Linked DNA regions of Arabidopsis thaliana. The protein of the gene in region 1 interacts with the protein of each later gene in a pairwise test. Each region holds a gene or a part of one and is shown on either strand. Other genes may lie near its edges. The genes, in order: LHW, AT1G68810 and BHLH32.

Region 1 (6,237 bases):
TCTCACTCAGTCGGATTTTTCTTTTTAAACTTGTAAATTGTACAAACCATACAATAAGAGGCTATCTACGGTCCATCTTCCCGCAGAACTTTCATTATCCTTTTGTAACATACTGGCAGTTACATTTAAAAAAACTGTCAAGATTACTTGAAATCATTCGGTGTGGTGCCTTCTAAAAACCTCCCAATGCTCAAATTATATCTTTATTTTATTTTATTGTGGTCAAAGTATTACGATGTTCTTTTAGTGATTCAGTATAATGTTCATAGTTTTTCTGTTAAAAATATCATAGTAATTATAGATCGTTTTTATGGGGAAAAAAAAACTTAGTACATAGTAAAAGTAGTTAATAATCTATTAAAAAATAATATGGTTTGGACCTTTTTGCACCCACTAAAATATCAGTATATAACTAAGTTAAATCTTTAAATTAGTAATTACGAATTGCTTGATGTTAAATTAAAGTGTTAATGAGTTTTTCAGAATTTAATTTAACATGATAAATAATAAAATAATCTAAATATTAAAGAGTTTATTAGAAAATAGGCATTTGTCTTGGTTATATATTTATTTTAAGGTATTTCCTTACATGATTTTCGAAAGAGGTACTTTTCTCTTGTGAAAAGTCATCCTTATCCTCCTCTCATTTGCATTATCTTTTACCCAATTGAAGCAATAAGTCGTGTCTGTTTCCTATATTCGATATTTGCATCACCAATTGAAGCAATAAATCGTGTGTGTTCCCTATATTCAATTGAAACAATGGCGATATATGCATCATCTTCTAAATCGCCACTCCTGCAAAGACAACAACTCGGATTTTCAAGAATCCAAGTTTTTATATGGAAAATCACTGAGAGAGAGATCATTGTGAGGGATTTAAACCGGTTTCATCATTTCAAGAATGGACTTGTGGTGATTACTGGTAATTTGAAAAAGACAGGTGAGACGATATTCAAAAACCGGTTTCAACTCATTGTTATTTGTGAACCGATTTATTCTTGGTATAGGAAGACTCTGGGTGGGAAAAGATTCCAACTTTGCTTACGAAGGTTAAGTCGCAACAAAGAAAGCTTCTTTATTTCCGCCATGGACACAGCCTATCGTAGTCATGTGGACAGAACTGAAATTCTCTAAAATCAGAACCGAAATTCCACAAAATCAGAACTAAAGTTCCATAAAATCTATAAATTTTTTCGATTGGGTTCCCTATATATTATCTTAGGGTTTAGTATTGTGTAATTAAAAAGAAAAATTAAGTTTGCTTGAAAAACAAAGAAGAAATCGATTTAATCAGATTTTGCAACTATGTTCGATAAAGAAGAAGAAGAAAGAAGACGATGAAGAAGAAGAGAAGGAAAAAAAGACAGGGACAAAATTGTCCCGATTGAAGCAATAAATCGACACTGTTGTATTCAACTGTGGAAAATACCTATTTTGAAATAACTTTATTTAAAATGCCTATTTTAAATATAAGCTCAATATTAAACACCTTGAACTTATGTGTATTTATTATTTGTGTGTACGGGAAGCAATACCAGAAAATGAAAATCTCTTTTATTTATTGACAATCCATAATCCTACAAATCCTCTAACTTCTAGACTTATGCCGTTATTAAATATTTTAATATATATATATACATATATATTTTTAATAATTATATTTAGGAACGTCTTTTAATTTATCTCCGAGGGTACACTTTTTTTCTTTATCTCTTTTGTTTTTATCTAAAAACAAACTTTTAGGATATTACCTCACGAAAAAAACAATAAATTATTCGTCTAGCACCATCGGAAAAAGACAAAAGACTTCGACTACCCCACTCAGTGGCACAATCCTGTAATTTCTACTAAACATTGATACCCTTTCTCGAATTCATCGTGTTCTTTGTTTTTAATAAGATGGTACTTTTTCCTCATTTTTCAATCTTTTTTTCACCAAGAAGCAGAGAAAAGAAACATTAAAGCAGAGAAAAAACAAAGACAAATAATCTCCATTTGCTTTCTTCTCCATCTTCTTCTAATTTTCTTCAAGTTTTATCAATGGCTGGTGTTACTGGAATCTTAAAGCTTGAAGCTTGGAGCATCTTGTGAAGAAGATTAACTAGTTTCTTGTATTTTTCTTTTCTGGGGTTTTGAGTTTTTTTTTCTCTTCCTTATTACCGGAAGTAATGGCATGTCGGAGTATGATCGCTTTTAGTTTAGATCCTGAAAGAAAACAAAGTGGAGGACTTAGGACAAAACAAGCTGGAAGAGGATCTTGCCGTGGAAGTTAGTCTTTGTTCAAATCCATTTTCCTCTTAAAGAATGTAATAATGGGTTTTTATTGATTGTTGTAGATTTGTTAAAAAGTTTTGTTTTTAGACCTAAAGTTTCGATTTTTTTCTTCTGGGCAGTTTGAAATTGCACTGTTGCAAGTGAAAAAGTTTGTTCTTGTTGGAGCTTAAAGAAGAGAGAAGAGAAAGAGAAAAGCTATGGGAGTTTTACTAAGAGAAGCTTTAAGGTCTATGTGTGTTAATAATCAATGGTCTTATGCTGTTTTCTGGAAAATTGGCTGTCAAAATTCTAGGTACCACTCTTATTCTCCTAATTCTAATAAAGTGTCAAACTTTATTCAGTCAAATATATTCAGTGTTTGTTAGTTTAAAGTTTGAGAATTTTTTGATAAGGGTTTAAAACTCAGATCTCGAGGATGACTAGAATTATTTATCTCTGTTTAATTCTTGGAGTTTTGTGTTTGGTTTGATCTTGTTTGTCTTAAAGAATCTTTCGATTTGTAGTTGTTTTGTCGACAATAACTATATCCTTATTATTTGTTTATGAATTGTCTAAAGAGTTCAAGTTCTTTAACTCTCTTGTCATTTCAATTTTTATTTCTTGTCTTTGTTCGTTTTGTCTTTGTTTAGCCCAAAATCTTTTGTAATCGTCTTTTTGTGGTATTCTAACTTAAACGATTGTTGCATATTTTTGTCATGTGTATTCTAATTTTTTTTTTTTGATGTGTTTTTTTTACTTGTTTTTGTGCAGCTTGTTGATTTGGGAGGAATGTTACAATGAAACCGAATCGAGCTCGAATCCTAGAAGACTTTGTGGACTTGGTGTTGATACACAAGGGAATGAGAAAGTTCAGTTGCTTACAAACCGAATGATGTTGAACAATCGAATCATTTTGGTAGGTGAAGGTCTAGTTGGCCGAGCTGCATTTACTGGACATCATCAATGGATTCTAGCTAACAGTTTTAACCGCGATGTTCATCCACCCGAGGTTATTAATGAGATGCTTCTCCAATTCTCTGCTGGTATTCAGGTTTGATACTTTCTTCATGTTTTGAACATCCTAAGTTAGGCTTCTTTAGTGTATATATATGTTCAAGCTCATAAGAACTGTTTGTGTGTGCTTATTTTGTTTGTTCTTCAGACTGTTGCAGTTTTTCCGGTTGTTCCTCACGGTGTTGTTCAGCTCGGTTCCTCTCTGCCTGTAAGTTCAAGTTACATTGTTATGTGAAGTGAGATTCTTGTTCTTGATTTAACTGTGAATTGTTTTTTGTGTGTTCAGATTATGGAGAACTTGGGGTTTGTGAATGACGTGAAGGGTCTTATCCTGCAGCTCGGATGTGTTCCGGGGGCTCTCTTATCTGAAAACTACAGAACATATGAACCTGCTGCTGATTTTATTGGAGTGCCAGTGTCTCGGATAATACCTTCTCAAGGACATAAGATCCTCCAATCTTCGGCTTTCGTAGCTGAAACTAGCAAACAACATTTCAACTCCACTGGATCATCAGATCATCAAATGGTTGAAGAATCTCCCTGTAATCTTGTGGATGAACATGAAGGAGGATGGCAAAGCACAACAGGATTTCTAACAGCTGGAGAAGTTGCAGTACCTTCAAATCCAGATGCGTGGCTGAATCAAAACTTCTCTTGTATGTCTAATGTGGATGCAGCAGAGCAGCAACAAATCCCATGTGAAGACATCAGTTCGAAACGCTCGCTTGGAAGCGACGACTTGTTTGATATGTTGGGTTTGGATGATAAGAACAAAGGTTGTGACAACAGTTGGGGAGTTTCACAGATGAGAACAGAAGTACTCACTAGAGAGTTATCCGACTTTCGGATCATTCAAGAAATGGACCCTGAGTTCGGTTCTTCGGGGTATGAACTTTCAGGAACAGATCATCTGTTAGATGCCGTGGTCTCGGGTGCTTGCTCCTCCACAAAGCAGATCTCAGACGAAACTTCCGAGTCCTGCAAAACCACCTTGACTAAAGTTAGTAATTCTTCGGTTACCACGCCGTCTCACAGTAGCCCTCAAGGTAGCCAGTTATTTGAGAAGAAACATGGGCAACCATTGGGGCCATCATCGGTCTACGGGTCTCAGATAAGTTCTTGGGTTGAACAAGCGCACAGCTTGAAGCGTGAGGGCAGTCCAAGGATGGTGAACAAGAATGAAACTGCAAAACCGGCTAATAACCGGAAAAGGCTTAAACCAGGAGAGAACCCAAGACCAAGGCCTAAAGATCGCCAAATGATCCAAGATCGTGTCAAAGAGCTGCGTGAAATAATACCAAACGGTGCAAAAGTAAGTGAAAAACTTATCTGTTCTTGGCAAATTAAACAATCCCTAAGAAAGGTTATTACTAACAAAGAGTACATGTGGTTTTTATTTAACAGTGTAGCATTGATGCACTCCTTGAACGTACAATCAAGCACATGCTCTTCTTGCAAAATGTCTCCAAGCATTCTGATAAGCTGAAGCAAACCGGGGAATCCAAGGTATAACATAAAACAATAATATTTTGGTGTCTCTCATGGATTCTTGATCTAACGTTTGTTGTATTGTTATAAGATTATGAAAGAGGACGGTGGAGGAGCAACATGGGCTTTCGAAGTAGGGTCAAAGTCTATGGTGTGTCCAATTGTCGTAGAAGATATAAACCCGCCTCGCATTTTCCAAGTCGAGGTAACATTTCTGCCTAAGGTTCTTAATAAAAAACACTCAAGATCTCGGTTTTGATCGAACGTTTTCTGGTTTTGTAACAGATGTTATGCGAGCAACGAGGATTCTTTCTAGAAATCGCAGATTGGATCAGAAGCTTAGGGTTAACGATCTTGAAGGGAGTCATCGAAACTCGAGTAGACAAGATTTGGGCTCGCTTCACTGTTGAGGTATATTATATAAGTTACACAAGGTTGTTTAACTTGGAAAGATGAGATTGTGTTAGAATGTATCTTATTTAAACTGAAACCGGGTCGATATTGGATTGTAGGCGAGTCGCGACGTGACGAGGATGGAAATATTCATGCAACTAGTGAATATTTTGGAGCAGACAATGAAATGTGGAGGAAACTCTAAGACTATTTTGGATGGTATCAAAGCTACAATGCCTTTACCGGTTACTGGTGGCTGTTCAATGTAATGACACAAATTATTGACCGTACCGGATTGCTCCGGTTTAATAAACCGGGCTGGTTAAAAGCTTGATTCATATAGAGGTTACGAGCGGACCGCTCTCAAGGATTTTAGGCTCGCTATGACTAACTAAAAAGTCAGTCTAAACCAGAGATGATGATTTTTAAGTGTGTTTTTTTTTCTCAACTTTATGTTTTGTACATTAGTTGCGAATTTTCATTTGTGTGGAATTTTTTAATTTTAATTCAGTTTTGGAGTTGTAAAAAATTTAGTTAAATTGTTTAAAATTATTCTCGACCAGTAAGAGTTCAAACAATTCACGGATTTCAAGACCGGTAAAAAGAACCGGTCCATCAACAGCTTTAACAGTACACAACAAAGCTTCACATGTTACAAGTACCTTTATGTTACTTTGATTAGTAACTCTATGTATATAATTAGCTTATTATTAAAAAAAAAAACACAAGAAGCTCTACTTTCAATAAAACACACTCTTTATTAAGAAACGTGAGGCCTATAGAAGAAAAGCTAATAATAGTTAGTTATAATACTTTTGTTAACAGCCTTATAATGTGCTATCATGTGAATTCATAATCTCTAATGGATGTCTTAATCCATTCCTAATATTTACATTTTCTTCATACTACTAATTAGTGGATCAAACTTAGTCCAACATCAAATTCTCAAAACTGCGTTTTTGTTTGTTGTCTCAAAAATGCTTTATTTACACTTTTGAGGTACCTAAACTTTGCTGCAAAAGGTGCATGAACATCTTTGTGTCTTGCTTTAGCCATCTCTCCACTCTATAGATTATGATGGGATAA
Region 2 (4,759 bases), on another chromosome or scaffold:
AATAAATTCCAAATGAAGACCTAGAGCTTGTAAAATATAAATTTTAAATCTAGATATATATATATATATAAAATCCATAATATAAACCTTTTGTAAATTATGTTATAAGTTATAACAATTGTAACTTTAAGACGAGTTTACTATTAGCACTTGACACTAGTATTTTGCAAGCATTTAATTTTATGTTAAATTTTGTTTATTTATAGGTGACAATATGGGTAATCCAGTCCAATTTGATCCATAATGTTTATGGGGTGAATGTTAACTAGGTGAACGAAGAACGTAAGCCATTTAGTAAATAGGTTGACCATATAAAATGTTCTAGTTTCTGGTATGAGGGGAGGTAAATGCCTATTAATCTATCTAATTTGATGGGTCGAAAATCAAAATGATAAAATAGTTCTACCCATAAAATATTTTTGTAATAATTTATCACATATTTTCATAATTAATAGTTATTACAATCGGTATCATATGTGATACGTTCATTGTCTTCACATCATCATCGCATTATCATTTTTATCATCATCATAACATAACGATCATCATTTCATACCATCTCCATTATCATCATAATTTTGAAATCACCTTTATGGCACAAAATTTTGGAATCGTGCTTTTGCAAAACAAAACAAAAATATAGTTTTCTCTGCAAAAATCATGTTTTTACGAAACATTGAATATAGCGGAAAATTGTGGATTTGTGTTTTTAGCAATAATTATTATGAAATACTTTTAGCTGGAAGTTGCGAAATTACATAATTCACGATTCATTGAAATTCAGTTTTTGACCAAAAAAAACAAATTGTGAAATTATATGATCATGATGATGATAATGGGGTATGATGGTGATGATATGATAATATTATGATATCATGAATATAATAAGAAACGAATATCATTTACTTTTTTTTTTAGTTTTTAACAAAATGTGGGTAAATATTGGTGAATCATAAATCTTTTACAATCTAACTCATTTAGCCCATTAATTCCTTATGGTCAGAACTCATTTGCCTTATCAATATAATAGGGTCATAATATTTAGTTATGAGGATTTGAATTCGGATGATGACATAAGGAAACATTAGTATCAATTATTAGATTACATGAATTTGGTTAATATTTGTTAATTAGTATCATGGTTTTATATCAACGAGAAAACAATTGACCAAAAAAAAAAGATAACCAAATCACTATCCTACACAATGTTATGTGCTCTCCCATAACTAGTTAGTGGTCTAATAGAAGACAAATAATCAATTTTTTGTTGATACCTACAAATTTGTAACGTATATTATGTGGTCTCTAATACCTAGTTTAGTGCTATAGCGTAGATTTTATTTATATAAATCAATTAAATCTGTATAGTGCCGACTCATATATTTTCGATGCTCTGAAACAAATTTAAAAGATATGTATTATGTGTCATTTTGTATATATAAATTCTTTTTGTGTCTTTTTATATATACAAATTATTTTTCTGTGTATGGATATTTGGCGATCGCATTGCTTGTCCATATACTTATTAGAAATAGAAATAGAAATAGACCGTGAAGTACTAAATGCGTAAATTAAAAGATAGATAATCTAAAGAATCTTAAACCCATTACCTTTTTTTTTTTACCTTTTTAATAATTCCACCACAACACAAAACACAAGTTGCAAACTCCACATATCCTGCAAACCATTGGTAACAAACAAACGCATGAGTTTCCTATATATGTCTGCGTCTACAACATTTGAAAGCAAACTTTTGTCTCTTTTTAACTCTCTTAACTTTCGTTTCTTCTCCTACCTTCTTTTACCAACCTTTCCTTTCTCTTACACACATATATATATACATATATAGAGAGAGAGAAGAGGACAAAGAGTTGAAAGATGAAGACTCTCATGTCTTCATAGAAACAAGTGATATGTGCGCTAAGAAAGAAGAAGAAGAAGAAGAAGAAGAAGACAGTTCTGAAGCCATGAACAACATACAAAATTACCAAAATGACCTCTTCTTTCACCAACTCATCTCTCATCATCACCATCATCATCATGATCCTTCTCAATCTGAAACTTTGGGAGCATCCGGTAACGTTGGATCTGGTTTCACTATCTTCTCTCAAGATTCCGTCTCTCCAATATGGTCTCTACCTCCACCTACCTCGATCCAACCACCATTTGATCAGTTTCCTCCTCCTTCTTCTTCTCCAGCATCTTTCTACGGAAGTTTCTTCAACAGAAGTCGAGCTCATCATCAGGGATTACAGTTTGGGTACGAGGGTTTTGGTGGAGCCACGTCAGCAGCACATCATCATCATGAACAACTTCGGATCTTGTCGGAAGCTTTAGGTCCGGTAGTACAAGCCGGGTCCGGTCCTTTTGGGTTACAAGCTGAGTTAGGGAAGATGACAGCACAAGAGATCATGGACGCTAAAGCTTTGGCTGCTTCAAAGAGTCATAGTGAAGCTGAGAGAAGAAGAAGAGAGAGAATCAATAATCATCTCGCTAAGCTCCGTAGCATATTACCCAACACCACCAAAGTAAGTCCAAAATTTTTATAACATAAATTTTCATACATAAGTAAAAACATTCATCAATCACACACCGTTTAAGTTTTTTGTAAATAAAAAATAATACTAAAACAATGTAGAGTTTAAGTGGAAAAACATAGTAGCTGCGACATGAAAGTTTATGTCACATTTTGTCTCTTTTTATTTTTTTACATTTAGGTTTTATAAAAGGAGAAGTAAGTTATTCAAAGGTTTTCTGTTTTGATCAATGATCTTGTGGGTATTTGTTAAAGTCCCGAGAGAGAATCAGTCAGAGACTGTAGTATAAATAAAAAAGCAAGGAATATGGAACGTCTATGTCGTCGTTTGGTTAATTGATGTAATAAAGAGAAACAACCGGCGCTGCTTAAAAAGCATAAAAAGTCTTATTGCCGGACCAAATCATAACTTCTACGACCACATAATTTTCTCCTCGAAACTATACAAATATGTTTTTTCTTCGTTTTTTTTAATGCAGACGGATAAAGCGTCGTTACTAGCTGAAGTGATCCAACATGTGAAAGAGTTGAAGAGAGAGACTTCAGTGATCTCAGAGACAAATCTTGTCCCAACGGAAAGCGATGAGTTAACGGTAGCTTTCACGGAGGAGGAAGAAACCGGAGATGGCAGATTTGTAATTAAAGCGTCGCTTTGCTGTGAAGACAGGTCGGATCTCTTGCCTGACATGATTAAAACATTGAAAGCTATGCGTCTCAAAACGCTCAAGGCGGAGATAACCACCGTTGGGGGACGAGTCAAGAACGTTTTGTTTGTTACCGGAGAAGAGAGCTCCGGTGAGGAAGTGGAGGAAGAGTACTGTATAGGGACGATTGAGGAAGCTTTGAAAGCGGTGATGGAGAAGAGCAATGTAGAGGAATCATCTTCTTCTGGAAATGCTAAGAGACAGAGAATGAGTAGTCACAACACTATCACTATCGTCGAACAACAACAACAATATAATCAGAGGTAATCAATTTTTTACTTAAATCGCTTTTTTTTTCTTACTTTCGGTGTATCTACTACGTGTGTTGTTTGCTGGTTATGGAAATGAATGTTGTACGTCACGTTATACTATAGATATATGTGTGTTTGTGTGTATGTATAACGGAAGTATTTGTATCCGTTGTGGTCTTGGACTTTTGGTTTGGTTCTAAGATACTTATTTTTAAAAACTTGTATCGTTGAGTTGGTTTTCTAGATATGCTTAATGGGAGTATGTGACGAAAAAAAAGTATGATTTCTGTAAGGCAATGCATGGGTTTGGAAAATTCGTTTTCTCTTGTCATGTGGGAGGATTTGAATTTAATTTTGGCTTATTTTTGCAATTGTGTGAATGAGACCAAAAAGAGACAATGAAGAAGAACAGGAAACGTACCAAAGATGATGTGTATCATTAATTGATTTAGTCGGGTTCTGTCCGGGGGAAAAACAAAAAGAGACAAATTTGGGATTCTGAGCTTCGTACGTTGATGCTTCTCTGACTCTTTTGCCTTGTGTATTTATGTGTTCTGTAGAATCTTTTTCGTGTAACGATTTACATATATTCAAATATTTTGCTTTATATAAATTTGCATCATGGACTGGTATGAGGTAAACATCGGGACCAAGACTAAGATATAAAGGACGTAGCCAATTAGTTTTTTAGGTTGGTCCATGAAATTTAACATGGTATTCTAACCAGAGTTTTATTTTGTAAGTGTGTTATGTTTTATGTGTTGCACATGAGCACGTCCTTGATCGAAGTATTTAAAATTTGTTATTAAAGAAATGTGTAAATTTATAGGGATGATAAGTGATTGTGATTGAGATTGGTCATGACGAGGAACATACGTAATTGACGTCGTATTTGTGTTAAGCTTGCATCATGAAGTGAAGTACGTCGACGTTATTAATAATTATGATCATTTAGTACTACTTACGTACTATTGTACCCTAACTGCCATTTCATTTGTCTTTTAACATTTTTACCTAAGTGACGGTCATGTGAATTGTCTAGTAGACTAGTACTGACTCCTCTTTTGGCTTTCTCTATAGACAACCTTGAATTTAATTTTAATTTATGTTAATTACGTCTTCATTATCAAACCAAAAACTTAGAAGATTTCTAAGTTTTGTGGAGACTTGCAATTAGGGCTCAGCTGGTCATGTTGTTAGAGCGACATAAAATGAGATGAATTTTATTAGTTTGTTGGATTCTACAAAGATATTGGACTACCTACCAT
Region 3 (4,523 bases), on another chromosome or scaffold:
AGACTCAAGAAAACACCAAATTAATAAGCCCATTTTTTTGGTTCTACGTTGAATTTTGGACTAAAGGAAAAACCAGTAGATACAAAATGACGAGATCATGACGTAATGTGCTTGTGGTATCAACCGTCTCTGTAATATTGTAATAAATAACGTAAGTCAGTAACGGCGAAAGAGACAATATTATCAGAGATCCCAAAACTAAGTTTCTATAAATAGAACTAAGATCTAAGTTTTCACTTCTCACGAAAAAGATTCGATCTACTACTACTCTCGATTTCACTTGATATAACTTACACAAATCTTCCGTCACATAACTCTCTACATCAATCTAATTTAAGAAATATCACATTAATTATATATCGGATGTGAAGAAAAAATTGTGGTTTTAAAAAATATGTAGAAACTGAGGAAATAAATTATAGAGTAAGTACGACATAGACTATTTCTCCCATGCACATTTAAAAACTGATTTCGACATAATCGTTGTAGTTTGTCAGAAAAAATAACAATGGATATGCGTAAGAGATTTCTTTATGTCATTTCTCTTATATCAGTCACAATAGAAAATAAATTGACAAGTATAAAACTATACTCTATACTATTACTACGTAGTGTTGTTGCTTATAAACAAAAGATTAAATAGTTGCAGAGTTCATGAATATGATAAATAAAACTTCTTGATAAATTAATACAAACCCAAGCTCTATACATTTCCTATATTAATTAAGACGATAAAATGTCTTAACTACCATATATAAACCAAACTCATCACTATAAAACCCTAAACAAAGGGTTCTTCATAGATTAAAAAAACATAGAAGAAGAAACCCAATCCCAACTACTAAAAACACCGAAAATAATACTAATATCACCAACCCATAATCAAATCCCATTTTGCAAGTCTAATTAACTAACCCTAGTTAATAAAGACTTGACTTAATTAACTAATTATAACATCGATTCACCATCTTACTAGTCCTTTGCCTCTTAATACCCCCTGAAGATGATTTCTCCAAGTTATTGTTATCGTTACTTTCATCATTATTATGAACACACTTCTCTATAACCGCCTTTAACGCTTCTTCTATCGAACTCACACGATTATTCATCATCCTCTCTTCATCATAATCCTCCACGTCATCACCATCGAAGTTTCTACGATATGAATCATGATCTTCTTCATCATCGTATTCTCGGCTCAAGAACAAGATGTTCTTGACTCTACCACCTACGGTTGCGATCTCAGCTTTGAGAGTTCGAAGACGAAGAGACTTTAAGGCATTGATGACGTCATGCATGAGGTCAGTCCTGTCTTGGCAGCAAAAGGATGCTCTTATCACCAAGTTTCCTTCCTCGTCGTTGTAAGACGAATCTACGGTCAGATCATCGCACTCTGTTGGGACTTGATACGTGTCGGTGATCTGTGATGTTTGTCGTTTTAGCTCCTTCATGTGTTGGATCACTTCCGCTAGCAAAGAAGCTTTGTCCGTCTATACAAAACCAAAACGAATCATAAGTATTTAATCTTCTTATTCTTCTTCTTCAATAATAATAACTAGTACAAAAATACCCCATCTGTGGACTATAATTACTTACCAAAAATATCGATTTGATACATTTATTTTAAATTTGAAAATTTACAACTACTAAACGATAATAGTTGAACAGAGATAGATAAAAATGATAATATTGAAAAATATAGTACTTATCATTTTTGAAACTGAATAATTAGTACTATATTTATCAGAAAAAGAACAATTACTACTACTCTCTTTATTAAAAAACAACAACAATTACTACTACTCTAACCAATAATAACTAAATAAAGAGAAATTTTGAAGGATCATTAATTAATTAAAACTATTTTTCCATAGGGTTTTCAAAATAGTGAATTAGTTTCTGAAATATCAAACCATAATGAAAGGAGAAGAGTGTTTATTTATAAACGACTTACTTTGGTTGTGTTTGGTAATATACTACGCAGCTTAGCAAGATGAGTGTTGATTCTCTCTCGTCTTCTTCTCTCAGCTTCACTATGACTCTTTGAAGCAGCTAAAGCCTTAGCATCCATGACTTCTTGTGCACTCAATTTTCCCATGATCTCACCATCGAACCCAAAGGACGAGCCACGACGCATGATGGGTCCAAGAGCTTCGGATAAAATCCTTAGATGGTTCTGAGGATGATCCATGGAAGGAGGAGGAGAGACAAAACCGTCGTTATAGTCAAAAGAAGAAGAGGAAGAAGAAGCTCTTCTGTTGAAGTAGTGAACCGGGTCAGAATAACGGGTCGGGTTAGATGGGAAATGGAGTGGGTCAAAAGAAGGTAAAGATGTCGACGACCAGGGGAGAATTTGTGGATGATGATGAAGATGAAACTGGTCTTGATAGTCTTGTAAGTTGTGAAATGTTTGAAGACAGTCTTCTTCTTTCATTGCGTACATTTTTTGGTTTTTTTGGTTTTTTAGTTTTTGGGAGAAAGAGAATTTTAGAGAAGAAGAGACAAAAGGTCACAAACATCCCATTTGATAATGCATACACATGTGTATATATAGTGCTATATAATGTGTCCTTAATTTTTAAACAAAATTTATTTGATATTTTAATATTAAAGAATTCTTTCCAAAAAACCTTTTTCACCGGGTTATACAATCAGACCGCCATTATCTTTGATCACATCAAGGAGAATTGTGAGAAATAACGTATGAACTTAGTTCCATATAAAATGGCAGAATAGTATAGTGATTACGCAAAAAATATTATGTAACCTGAATTTATTTTCAACTATAATGTACCGTTAATGGATTTTTGATGTATTGCTGTATTCCAAATTTTTTAATTAAAAGTTAGTGGTTTTTCCTGTTTAATAAAAAAATCTATCATTTTCTTTGATTAAAATGTTATATATTACAGGTTTTTATGGGACCACTCTTTTTTTTTTTCTGGTATATCTAACAAAACAAATGAAACTGCAAGTGCTGCACATCTTCTTTGCTTTTCTTTTACGACTTCTAAATGGGGAGCTGTCATCATCTTGTGGATTTCTCTGATGGATTTGGCTTCCTATGAATATTATTATTTATTTATGTTCTTAAGAATTGATTTCATGTTAATGAATAGAAGATTTTTGTGCCTTTTCTACTTAAGTTAATCGTATTTAGGATAAAGTTCATGCGATTTGTAAATGAGGAATACCACGCCACCACTATATCAAAATATTATTTAGCAAAAAAAATACTAATTCAAAATATTTCGATATGCATGGTTATATATTAATCGTAACAGTTGATAATATATACAGTTATTTTCGTATATATTAAGATCTGTGAAATGCGATCAAGAATAATATGCAATAGTAGAAAATCATGATTTTAGCAAGATGATTCTGGTCAGCACCTAATTCATAGGCAAAAATAATAGTTGACAAAGTTATTTCATTTGAAACTTTTAGAAGTTAGAATGGTCAAATAGACACAATCATGTATACTTATTTATTTTTTTGGCATTTGACATGATCAGGGACCCAAAAGATATTGTCTAAGAACTCTATTTAAGAAAAGAAAAAAAAGTCTCAGATGCTAACTGTGAAAATAAAAGATGATGTCCAAAATTGTAACTAAGGTGTTTTTCTTCATCAAAACAAAGTTTTTTTTTATCTTGGGTTAAACCTAATCTAAGATTGTAAGCAAATCAAGAGCATTTCGTCTGCCTAATTTCTATAAGTATAATAAGAAATTTTCGAGTTTATACCACGACTCTACAATTCTACAAAGAAGAGAAGACTAAAGTAGATTTAATTTATATAATCAAACACTCCTACACAATTTGACATGCATTTAAAGGGGAAGAAGAAAGAGGTCATGATTATTGTTTTTTCATCAGGTTCTGAAACAACGCGTTAAAAGAATTTCATTTGGCTGCTTAATGTTTTTGTTTTTTCAGTGGAAAGCATAATAATACTCGAAAATTAACCAAAAGAATAAAAAACAAACACTGACCACAGGACACACGGATTGTCGACCGACCAGAGACCAAAAAGACTTTTACTTTTAATCATTAATAATCCCACTCGTTTCGTATAGCCAAACCCACTTTCTTGTTTTTCTTTCCTTCTTTAATCTAGTTTTTAATCTAATCAAGATTTTCTATGTTATAGATTTGTCTCAAGTGCACCGAAGAGATTCTCTCTTTTATTTAATCTATTCATACATATCCAACGGATAAATTTTGATTATGATCTGAATATATCTTCGAGTGTGTTAGCTTAATTGTCTCATACTAAAGAAGATTCAAATCCTAAAATAATTAGTGAAAATTCTCAAACCTAACTCAAGTTTACCATCCGCCAGTTTATCAAGTAGATGTGCATATAATCATTTTTAAAGAAAAAAAGAGTTAAAAAGACTTATGAAAAAGAGGTAAAAAGACTTATATCATTATATATATAATGAAAAGGAGTGGAAAAACTAAATAGTAGGATACTAAAATGCTACCGGATTCGAGTACTATTTTTGTGAAAGATGA

What was found.
Region 2: the proteins of LHW (region 1) and AT1G68810 interact in a two-hybrid assay, tested with the Arabidopsis thaliana proteins (one study listed by BioGRID).
Region 3: the proteins of LHW (region 1) and BHLH32 interact in a two-hybrid assay, tested with the Arabidopsis thaliana proteins (one study listed by BioGRID).

Annotation. Positions count from the first base shown.
Region 1 is NC_003071.7:11,648,421-11,654,657, forward strand, and holds LHW (transcription factor-like protein), read left to right. Parts: upstream 1-1,938; 5' UTR 1,939-2,309; intron 2,310-2,396; 5' UTR 2,397-2,474; coding exon 2,475-2,569; intron 2,570-3,027; coding exon 3,028-3,307; intron 3,308-3,418; coding exon 3,419-3,478; intron 3,479-3,556; coding exon 3,557-4,582; intron 4,583-4,674; coding exon 4,675-4,776; intron 4,777-4,849; coding exon 4,850-4,963; intron 4,964-5,043; coding exon 5,044-5,169; intron 5,170-5,270; coding exon 5,271-5,420; 3' UTR 5,421-5,723; downstream 5,724-6,237. Other genes in the region: AT2G27229 (Pentatricopeptide repeat (PPR) superfamily protein), read left to right, coding at 763-1,137. UniProt on the Arabidopsis thaliana protein: Transcription activator that regulates root development; promotes the production of stele cells in roots. Coordinately controls the number of all vascular cell types by regulating the size of the pool of cells from which they arise.
Region 2 is NC_003070.9:25,859,376-25,864,134, forward strand, and holds AT1G68810 (basic helix-loop-helix (bHLH) DNA-binding superfamily protein), read left to right. Parts: upstream 1-1,718; 5' UTR 1,719-1,913; coding exon 1,914-2,528; intron 2,529-3,015; coding exon 3,016-3,507; 3' UTR 3,508-4,159; downstream 4,160-4,759.
Region 3 is NC_003074.8:9,367,518-9,372,040, reverse strand, and holds BHLH32 (basic helix-loop-helix 32), read right to left. Parts: upstream 2,543-4,523; 5' UTR 2,444-2,542; coding exon 1,955-2,443; intron 1,491-1,954; coding exon 945-1,490; 3' UTR 554-944; downstream 1-553. UniProt on the Arabidopsis thaliana protein: Transcription factor required for MONOPTEROS-dependent root initiation in embryo. Transcriptionally controlled by MONOPTEROS.